Linked DNA regions of Arabidopsis thaliana. The protein of the gene in region 2 interacts with the protein of the main gene of each other region in a pairwise test. Each region holds a gene or a part of one and is shown on either strand. Other genes may lie near its edges.

Region 1 (6,854 bases), 900 kb from region 2:
GGAGTAACATTCTTCTAACTAATTGAATTACCAATGCATGAATCATTAATAGTATAGTTTGCAAATATTTGCTTATAAAACTTTTTATGGACCGGCGACAAATAATAATATACATACATATCTATGTATATAATCGTAAGTGTGTCTATATATTATACAGAAATGTGTATCAACTAACATGTAAAACAAAAGAAGACATGGAGTGAGAGAAGCATATGATAATAAGCAAATGATTTTGAAAATGCGCATGCAACATAGCCGTTGTGCTTGTACTCATCTCTACGCAAATATATTTCATTATTTTCACTAAAATATTCTCCCTATTTTTATTTAAATTTTCTTGTAACAATAATAAAACAGCTCATCTACACCAAATGCAACTATTTCTTTTTTTGTTGTTTTGTATAAAATCCTTGTCCATCTAATTTTGACATTGTTTACGCTCAATATCAATGTGTATAATAAAGTCTATATGTTTGCAATCTAAAATAAGGAATGAGTGAGGAAAAAAAAGATAATGAATTGCGTATACATAATAATGTATGTCATGACGGTGACTATGATCTTGACTACATCATATGATTTCAACCATACAAATATTTATATCTAAATAGAGAGAATTAAGCATCATGATGTTAACTCTTATATAATTTATTTTAAATTCGCTTTCATAACATTATAATTATAAGTTTTCATCCTTAAAACTTAAAACAAAAGTGGGGGTCCTTTTACCTTAGTGGAGTTCTCATATATATCATCCTATGAGGAGAGAATTTATCTCAGTCTCACCATTGTCTTTCTAAAGCAGCCTTTTTGAGATTCTCAACCTCTTTATTATAGAGAAACATGAGATCTTGAGGTGTCTAGCTTCTCAAGATCTCAAGCTTAAGGAAAATGCCTGGACTTTGATCTGAAATGCCATGGAATATTATTTAGTATCTTGGAGAGAAGTAGAGTTCTTGGTCTGAACTTTCATGGGATGTTGTAGAAGCTTGTATTGGTGTCGAAATAACCATTTCCGCTGTAAGGAGGATGAAGAAGATTAACAGAAGGAGACGCTTGCTGTGTCTTAGAAAGATCTAGAAACTGAGAGGTTGGTTTTGGACTTGATTCGTTGTGTGAAGGCTCTTCTCTTTGGTTAATAACCATCAAATCCTTTCCCATCAGCCGCAACACCGGGTTGGGAGTTGAAGGAACCGCAGGCACAGACTTACTCAGGAAATCCAAATCTTGTTGGATCATTTGTGGTGGTGGTGGTTGACAAAATGTTGTATCTTCAAGAGCTTTCTCCTTTCTTTGGCAACAACATGATTGATCATTGTCTCTGAATCTGGAAGGTCTCTTGTCAGTGGTGATGATGTTATGAAGACTTAATGTCTGTGTTTCAGGAGCTGCAAAGTTTGAAATTGCTGAAACAGGTGATTCCGATGAATTTCTGTCAGTGAGATCAAACTGATCTTGTGAAGAGTGGACTTGGCTTGTGATAACTGAAGAGTTTCCATGATGTTCAACTGCATCAGTTCCCATCATATCCCAAGGACTTGGTAAAAATGATCCCGGAGGTCCTGGAATAGGAATGGGATCAACCTCCATGAACGAGCTTTCTTGTTCCGCGGTTTCGCAACCAGTTTTCTCATAAACCATGCTTTCAAACTCAACATCTGCATCTTTAGTTTTGTCCAACATATCATCACCTCCTTTGTTATCACCAGTCTCTTCATAGCTTTCATAATCATTGTCTTCCCCGCTAAACGAAGGATTTGAGCTTAGCGCAACCTTATCTGTTTCTCCATCATCATCATCCCAACCATCATAATCTGACAGTTCACGTTCTTGAGTCATTTCAGACTCCCATTTCCCTATATCTTCATCTTCATTCTCAGAGAAATCCATTCGAGCTTTCTTGAACTTCATGACGCCTCTCGCCACAGGTGTTAAACATCTCAAGGGATTTGCTACAAATAAATCACTTTCAATGCTTCTGTTCCTAGACAAAGCCCAGCTCTTTCCAGAAACTTGGCTCTCCCCACAAACTCTCCATGACCCTATACTGTTTAAAGGAGAAGAAACTGTCTCGGACAAATCAGTACTCACATGACTTGGACTTCTTAACACAAGAGGATCTTCTGACAATGAATTCCAATTCTCAGATTCACAAATGTCTGTCCCATTCTTCTTTCCATGCCTTGAAAGAGAACGCTTTGTTAGCATCCGCTGGTTGAATATTCTACCTTGACCAGGACCTGAAGTTTCTGACCTCTCAAAGTCTTTACCTTCTTTAGAATATCCTCTTCGATACTCCGGTATCTGTTACAAAAATGATAAAGAAACTTGTGTTACTAATCTAACAACCAAATCAAGAACGGATCATGCAAAGGCATAATTACCTCTGAAGCATTGCTTTTACGAACAGTGAGTTTTCTGTTTTGAGGAACTAGTTTACGATGCTTGTAATGTTTCTCTCCCCAAAGTTTTTTCCTAAAGCTTTTGCCCCCTTTACCTTCACTAGAAGATTTCTTCTCACAAACTTCTTCATGCTCTCTTCTTGATGGATCAGAAGCTTTCTCGTTAAACTTAGATAAAATCCGCAGTTTTTGGCCCTTAGCATCAATGTAAACAGGTCCAATGCCAGCAGCATCTTCATCAATGCGAGCACGCGACACGCTTCGCTTCTTTACTTTGTTGGACACTTCAGGCTTATCATCAGAGACAACACGGTTAGAGTAGCTCGAAATCATAGCCCACTTTGTGCCATTTCTTTTATCAAGATCTTCTAATGTGCCTTCTTTCGCAGAAGCATAGATATCAGTCATGGTTTTAACTTTCAACCGTGGCTTAGTCTTAGGCCTGTTTGGCTTACGAATCGGCTGCTGCCCCGAGTCAACAGACAGACACTGATCAATGTGCGCATTTAAAGTAGTGTTAGAAGCAGACGAGAAGGTTTTGCAGATGGGACAAGTTCTCAAAGCCATAGAATCAGAAGCTGAAAAGAGGCTACTATGATCTTCTTTTCCACCACTATCCACACAAGCTCCAGGTTTCACTATCAACCCACACTTTTTTCTAGGATTCTTGTTAACCATAGCTACTTGTATTTTGGATTTCGAACCACTCGCCAACAAACCATTCTCAAATCCTTGTTTAGTAGTCTCTACTAATATCTGATAAGAGCCAAGTTTCTCTGACTTTCTCTTGTGACTTACCGCTTCCACATGAGTTATGTTTGGCTTCTTCACTTCAGGAGGCTGAATCGGTGGCAATGGATCAGTTAAGCCATGATTTAAACAAAGTTGCAAACTTGTTGAGGAAAAAGGCCAACTTTTCTTGATGTTCTTGGTCCGGTAACTAAATGCATAATCTCTGCAAAAAACATCACAAAAACCAAATCATCAACCATTAGTAGTACAACAACCAGACAAAACATAGGTACAGGCTTTTATAAAAAAAAAAACTTCTGAGAGACATGACACAACAAAGAAAAGTTTGTTCTTTGATGATACTGAGACTCGTTCAGATCATGGACCAACGGATCAAAGAATAGTCAAAACTCAATACCATTAAGCTCCACATAATCACAGAAGGTGAAAGAAAAATAAAAATAAAAAGCATTTTGTTTTGAATCTGACCCATTTAGCAAAAATGAATGGATGAGAAGAAAAGATGTATCAGTAATCAAACCTAACAAGAAAGCTAAAGACTTTAAGCCTCCTAAAACAATGGTGAAGAACAAGAAACTGTTGACTTCTTCTCCATAAAACCCCCAACAAAATCGGAGAAGAAGAAACTTTAAGATTACCTGATGGAGAAAGTTGAAAGATGTGATTGACCTAACTCATCACAAGAGTTGGTCAGATGTAAGAAACTAGAAGAAGATGATGGATTGTTATTAGAAGGGCTTCTTTGATCAGTGGATGATAAGAACATTTGATTCTTCTTCCACTGTTACTACTATTCACTTCTTCACTTTTATCAACCTTGTCGTCCCTGCTCTTCTGCATAACACCAGATCTTTATAATACCAAATCTGAGAGCCTATGAAACCTGAAAAAGAGTTTAAAGTTTAAGTCTTTAAAACCCAGAAACTTGAGAAGATCAAGTAAAAAAATATTATTTCATGTGAAGGTTAGAAAAAAAACAGAGAATAAAATTAGGATTAGTGGGTGAGATTTTCAAGTATATGGGTTTGATTGGTGAAGCAAATCACAAATAGGAACAATCAAAAGAGTTGGTTTTTAATTCTTCAAAGTTTTTCCCCTAAAAACAAGCATCAGTTTCTAATCTGATTGGAGTGTTATTTTATGCAAGGAATCATATGAAACTCAAAGACATCACAATAAGAAACTAATAGATCAAGACACAGAAGGTAAAAGAACATACATTTGGTGAGATTTAAACCAAAGTTCATTGAGATTTATTTTTTTTTCTAAAAAAAAAATGAACACATTGAAAGAAGATAATCTAACCCTTAAGAAAAACTATAATCTCTACTTATGGATGAACCAACTGGAACATGAGATTTAACAACAAATCTGAGAAGACAATATTAGGAATCCAAGAAACAAAACCCTTTTTTATAATGTTATGAACAGAAGAAATGGATCATAAAATATCAAAAACTTACAGAGGATTAAAGATATATACTTATAATAAGCATACCTATTTTTGAAGAGTATAAGTTTGGATCTTTGAAACTTAATAAAGATTCAAAGTAAAGTAAGAACAAGAAACTGTAAATCGGTGAGACAATACAAAGAAAGAAAAAACAAAGAAGTAGGAAGACGACGAAGAGAGAAGAAGAAGAGAGTTGCTAAAATAAAAGTTTCAGATAAAAATTATATCAGTAAATAGACAGAAACCTTTAGAGGATTTGATTATTTTCAGAAATAGTTTTTCTTGGCAGAAGAAAAGATTTTTGTTAGAGGGAGAGAGAGATGAACAAGAACCACGCACTAACACATCAAAGTGGTATCAGGTTCCCTAAGTATTAAATAAACATACTGTTTACTTATAAAATAAACTTAAAGTAAAGAAATGTTTAAATGAATTTTTTTTTTTTTTTCCTCGTCGCTGTTCCTTTCGTATGTCTGTAAGTGAGCTGTGTGAATTCCTAAATAGTTGTTTTCATTTTTCAAACCATTTTTTTAATGCTGCTAACTTTATTTAAATTTTGGGCTTTGAACTGAACGAGACAAGTAGAGGCTGCTGCTAACTTTTTGTATCGTGTTTTTTAAGAAGTGGTTTCTACTTTCTATCATTGTTTATACAAAATGTAATCATGTTTCGAATTTTTAATTTATGGTAAGGTAAGAAACTTTAGTTATAAAAAATAATTAAGAATTTATGTATGTTCTTGTTAATTAGTATAAATTTTTGTATTCTTCGAAACCCAAAGATATGAATTGTGGAGGGGCTAGAAATGCTTTTTTTTTTCCTATGGATGATTCGACCATTAATGAAAAGCAAATGAAATCTTGACTTAAATGAGGGTTGACTCACTTTAGTTTTGGGATAAAGTCTTTTGAAAAGTTTATCAAATTATGGGAAGTTTCCATAAGAACGATCGAGACGGTTTGTGAACAAATGATCGTTCGGTTCTATTATATGACCTTAATTAAGATTGTTTCTTCTGTGATATGGCTATGGAATAATAGATAGATGAATCTATGACCTTAGGCGATATAAGATCTTCTCGGAGAATATTAAGGTGGAGCATATAACATGCGTGGAACAAACCAATGACCATGATATCTTTGAGATGAGATATGAAGGCATCGGCCGGAAAAATTTCCAACGTTTAAAGTCATAGAATAAATGGTCGAAGAATTTGGAATCATGGAAATGAAAGAAAGTGATTTTGATTCAGAATCAATGGTTTTTATTGTCCTTTTTAAAGGTGAAAATAAATAAGAACATGATGTCTTGACTGTTTTTGAGAGCAAGCCAAATGTTTACGAAAAAAAGGATCCAATTGTTTGAAAAAGTTGGTCATGTATATGTTAGTGCATATAGAATTATGTAGGCACTCATAACCACTTTTTCTCAAAATTACAAGTTCTATAAAGTATAAACCATGAGATATCTCATATTTTGATCTTTTTAAAACGAATGTATCAACAGCCAGAATTATCGTTAAATCATCACCTTATTAAGAGAAATTAAGAAAAATCATAGAATTAAATAAGAGAGGATAGTGCCATTTTGTGGAAACGTGAAATTATGGTTTTAGTCAAACATCATTTTCCTCGTTAAGTCATATTCCATGCCCTATGGACTTATTGGAGGTCCCATAATTCCTTCGCTACACGACACTATTCTTTTTTTTTTTTTTTGGTGAAGTAATGAATGACAAATTGATAAGTAATGGATTCAAGCAAGACACCAAAACAAGAAAAACAAATTATAGCTTCTTAATCGCAATGATAAATCTAAAGAGCAGCCGTTTTTAGCTTTTGATTAATAAGTTCCATCAAATTAGATTGAGAAACAAGTGGTCGTGGTATAATATATTCGTGTCTAATTGGAATCAATTATAGATTTGTATGGTCTAGAATTTACTTATTTTAGTCTAGAGTGTCATATCATCCAAATTATTTTACAACATCAATATGTGATCAAAGACATATTTCAACATATAATTTAACTTTTGATTGAGAAGATTCGATAGATACAAAATATGCTAGAAATAATAGACTTATTGTAGATCCTATGTATAAAAACAAAGGAGTGTTAAAGAGAAAACATGAAATGTCCACATATACGTCAAATTATCAATGGCATGAACATGGTGATGGTGTGGTCTGTCTAACTTTTTATGATGCTTTTATTTATTAATGTGACGGAACATATTAATAATA
Region 2 (4,209 bases):
ATCGCATTTCTTCCCTAAGGACAAAAGCTAAACTATTCACAAAAGAGGCCAAAATCGGTAGAATGAGTGATGAGGTTGATTGGGTTCGTGCCGTGGCGAGTCGGCGGACTTCTGAATCATAGCTGCTGCAGTGCCCCGAACCCAATCACTCTATAATTTTATCAACCAATCATGACTTGCCACGGCACTGCAGCAGCTAAAACGTTAAACGGCAAGCGTTTCCTCTATTAGTTTTATACCGTATCTTTTGTTTCATTTCTTCTGGAACAATCACAAACACTTTTTTTATTATGTCCGTTTCGTTTTACCGTGACCGCGAATACAACTCCACGTTCTCTAATTTGTGCTAAATTGTTTTTTATAAAAGCCCACCTTAAGGCCCATGAAAATGAGATTTGTATGTGATGATGACAAGTTTGATATAGTGAAGAACCAACAGCACAAGCTTAGGCCCATGTTAGGCCCTATGGTTGATGTACAATAATAATGCTTCGATTTGTTTATATAAATTCCCCAGCGAATGTGTTTTTCTTTTGCTCCAAAGACTTGTCTGTTTTTACTGTTTCTTGTCAGAAAACAAACAGTCAACCGCGACATGAACCACAACGCAACCAAGCAGGATTTGCCTTTGCCAGGTCCGGAATTTTGTGCTTTTCTTTTGCTCCAAACACTTTAACAATCATAACACAACAGTGGGAACTGTTTGATTGAGGACTCTACAGAGTTTTTTGTAATTATAACATGATGGTGCATGTACTAATATATTGATACCCCATTAGTAAGCTGTAGAAATAGCTACATTATGAACCTCCGCTACTTTTCCTTTTGCGCCGCTTTTCTCTCTTTTTTTGTGAACTGAATATAAACCTAGCAATTCGATTTATACCAGTCTGGTCGAGTCAGTTACTAGCCACATTGTCGTTCAGTAATCAGTATAAGCCTCTCATCAGTTGTACTTCAGTCTCCTTTCACGTTCTCTCGAACTGTGAAATTTGAGCAGTCTTCACCTGCAACACCAGGTGATCCACTTGCTAACTGGTTCTCACTAGCAGAATTTGGATAAGGAGAATATCGTGGATTGGGGCTGCGTCGTGCATTCCGGTTCTGTGCAGCCGTTGTGCTTCTGGTTGTCTTGGCACGAGCCTTTCTTCCCTGTTAGGTGGTTTCCAAAAAAAAAAAAAAAGTAAGGACTAGAGGTTCAATGAAACAACACATTCTGGAATACTATCTGACAGAGATAAGGAGGCATGCAAGCAATAAGATCACCTTTCCCATGCATTTTTCGAGATGAGGAGCAAACCTTCCTGCAACAATTTGTCGCCCACAGTTCATGCAATTGAACACTTCACTAGCTACAGGAGGGTGAGTCTGCCCAAATATATCAACAACATATTTGGTGTTGGTTTCGAGGTTGTTGCTAGGATCAGCGATCTTCGCACGCGCTTCCACTGACAATCTCAACTCTTCTTCTACTATATCCAAATCACGATCAAGTCCTAGTCGTGCTACCCGATGACACTCAGATGCTACATCAGCTATCACCGAATCCACAAGATCAAGAAAAATTTGGGACGAAAGCTGCAAGCAAAGTTCAAGAGCAAAGAAACGTAAGTCTAACTTAGTTTCCACTAGGCAGTTACTTTAACAAGGAGGAGAAATCTTAATAGTTTTACATAGAACGAGAATGTGGAGCATATAAACAGTAATTGAATTCATCATGAGATGAGACTAAATGAACAAATACCTGAGCATGGGAAGATTTATTATCCTCTGCGCCAGACATTGGAATCCTCTAAATACGAGATTGCTCAACAAAATGTCTGCGAGAAAATCAAAACCAAATCGTAAAGAGAGATTTCCATCACCATCAGGAGCCCTAGAAAAAGCGAATTTCTCCAGAAATCAAAAAAGTCGATCATCACTATCTAACAGATTCGTTTTGGAGTTTCTGTGATAGGAAACTCTACTACTCATTCCTCACAACTTTACTGTTTCAGGTTCCAAATCAAATCATCCAATAAAACAAACCCAGTCTACAAGCATAGATACAGAAACGAAATCGCCGTAGAATCAGAAAGCTTACACTGTAGAGCCGAGTCGCGACGGTGAACGGAGGAGGGAGAGAGAGTTTTTTCTCTCTCGATCTGTTGAATTTTACATCGGCGAAGAAACCACCAATCATGACTTGCCACGGCACCCAGGCCAAGCTAAAATATTAAACGGCAAGCGTTTCTTTACTTAATCATATAAACGACACGGTTTTCCTTCTCACCGTCACCTCGAATAGAAAGAAAACGACACTCCACGTCATCTAATTTCTGTTATGATTTTTTTATTAAAAGCCCATCTCATGGCCCATTCAAATCTCTTTTTTTTTTTTGCAGCACCCATGCAAAATCTCAGTAGAGCACACCTCGATTATAGCTTCTTCTTCTAGTTTGGCACAATTGCTTTTTTGTTTCTTCTGAAAATGTCTCTTTCAGAACCATTCAATTAATACAAGCATACCACGTTTTCTTCTATTTCGAGAATGCGTGAAGAAGTTAGCAATTTTAAATGGGCCAAATCAAAGAGTAATTAATTTTTGTATTCATATAAATAAGGGCAGAAGAAGAAGCAACTAACATGAGACACAAGGTCGCTTCTCTCTTGAGGAAATTTCCGGGAAAGTCACGGAGTCGGTTATGGGAGCCACACGAAAAGGATTTTCTTCAAATTACGAAAACGACGTCGCACGTAAGATCCAAAAAGACCCAATCCAACGCCCCATATGTAGAGAGCAATCACTAACGAACGTCCCAGTCTCACTTTCTACACCAACCTTTATACAAAAATCCATCTACTAAATTATCCCAAAGAAATATATTTAAACTCTTCTTTTCTTCTGTGGTGACATATTGTTTTCATTTGATACATATTCTCCCAAGTCAAATTTATATTTCAGAGAGGAAAAAGAAACAGACACAAATCCCTCCAAGATGATGCATGACAGTATGAAGTAGGTATGAGCAAAGGAGTTGAGATTTGAGAATATTTGAGATTACCTCTCTAATGGTAACTTCTACGGTGGAGGCCTCGAGTCCTGAAGATGGCGAACGACTTACTTTCACTAGAGACAGACACTACGCCATGCATGGTGAGATCTTGACGGTAGTTCTTGTCATCAGCTTCGCCGTCTTCCTCTTGTTCCTCGTGTTGCTTCCTTGTCTGAAACGCCGTTACAGTCACCAGTCCGACCTGTCAGAAGAGGCTTCCTGGAGCGGGACACTCAAGCCCTCACCTGTTGTAAGCAAACAATCCATTTCCACATAGCCATAGGCCAAATAACAAACAAACATGTATTGAATATCTGTTACAAAAGAGTATCTGTTACAAATTGTAGAAGCGTCACTGTTCGTCATCATATGTCTCACTAATGGATAGAACATTACAACATTGTACCCAACTGCAATTGCAGCTGAAAAATAAGATTTGTGGACAACAACAATATGAGATGTTTCACTAATACGTACATACAGAAGAAGATGGGAACAATGAATGCAGTTTTACCTCCATATCAGCAATCAAGCTCGACCCTTTATTTGATGATACATAACAACGAGAGGGTATTATTAGAAGAGTAAGAATCCGGCCAAGGCAGAGGTTAAGGAAATGGTGAGATTGTCGTCAATGTCGGTGCTTATTGGGAGTGATTCCACAAGAGCTGATGCTATAGAGATGACGAGGAAACGAAGAATCATTCCCCCGCTATCCTCGATGTAACCAAATGAAGCAAAGTAGTACATATACGCAACAGATGCTAGAAACCCGGCGGTGGCCATTCCAATGCTACCAGCAAATGATTTGTTTTTGTTGTAAGGAAGCTTCTCTGTTCCAAACCGCCGACCCACAATGTCAGCCATACCTTTTAACAGCAAGTGTGTGTATTAGAATCATCATTCAATGGATTCAAATTCCTAAGACAAAAGTTGCTAATGTTATTGGATCAAACCAGAGCTAACTGTACTTACCATCTCCTGCGCAAAGGTTGCATATCACCGCAATCGCGATTGGGGATGATTTCCAATAGTAGATGCAGGCTGATGTGATTGACAGTACATAGTAAAGCGGCCCCTTAAGTAGTTCCCTGATGCAGAGAGCGACTACAGACACTTTGTGAAGTGACAAAAGCAATAATAAACAGACAAACCGAATTTTGATCATAGATAC

Evidence for each region.
Region 1: the proteins of AT5G58575 (region 2) and HAP8 interact in a two-hybrid assay, tested with the Arabidopsis thaliana proteins (one large-scale study listed by BioGRID).

The regions. Positions count from the first base shown.
Region 1 is NC_003076.8:22,767,946-22,774,799, forward strand, and holds HAP8 (hapless 8), read right to left. Parts: upstream 5,077-6,854; 5' UTR 4,857-5,076; exon of another isoform or gene 4,657-4,856; intron 4,042-4,656; 5' UTR 3,925-4,041; coding exon 3,797-3,924; intron 3,361-3,796; coding exon 2,388-3,360; intron 2,308-2,387; coding exon 973-2,307; 3' UTR 508-972; downstream 1-507.
Region 2 is NC_003076.8:23,671,973-23,676,181, reverse strand, and holds AT5G58575 (SAGA-associated factor-like protein), read right to left. Parts: upstream 2,650-4,209; 5' UTR 2,626-2,649; intron 2,520-2,625; 5' UTR 2,084-2,519; intron 1,821-2,083; 5' UTR 1,784-1,820; coding exon 1,745-1,783; intron 1,579-1,744; coding exon 1,267-1,578; intron 1,153-1,266; coding exon 958-1,152; 3' UTR 539-957; downstream 1-538. Other genes in the region: AT5G58570 (uncharacterized protein), read left to right, coding at 3,052-3,312; FOLK (Phosphatidate cytidylyltransferase family protein), read right to left, coding at 3,612-3,904, 4,011-4,126. UniProt on the Arabidopsis thaliana protein: Component of a deubiquitination module (DUB module) that specifically deubiquinates monoubiquinated histone H2B (H2Bub). Does not seem to be a component of the TREX-2 complex. Seems to act independently of the SAGA multiprotein complex.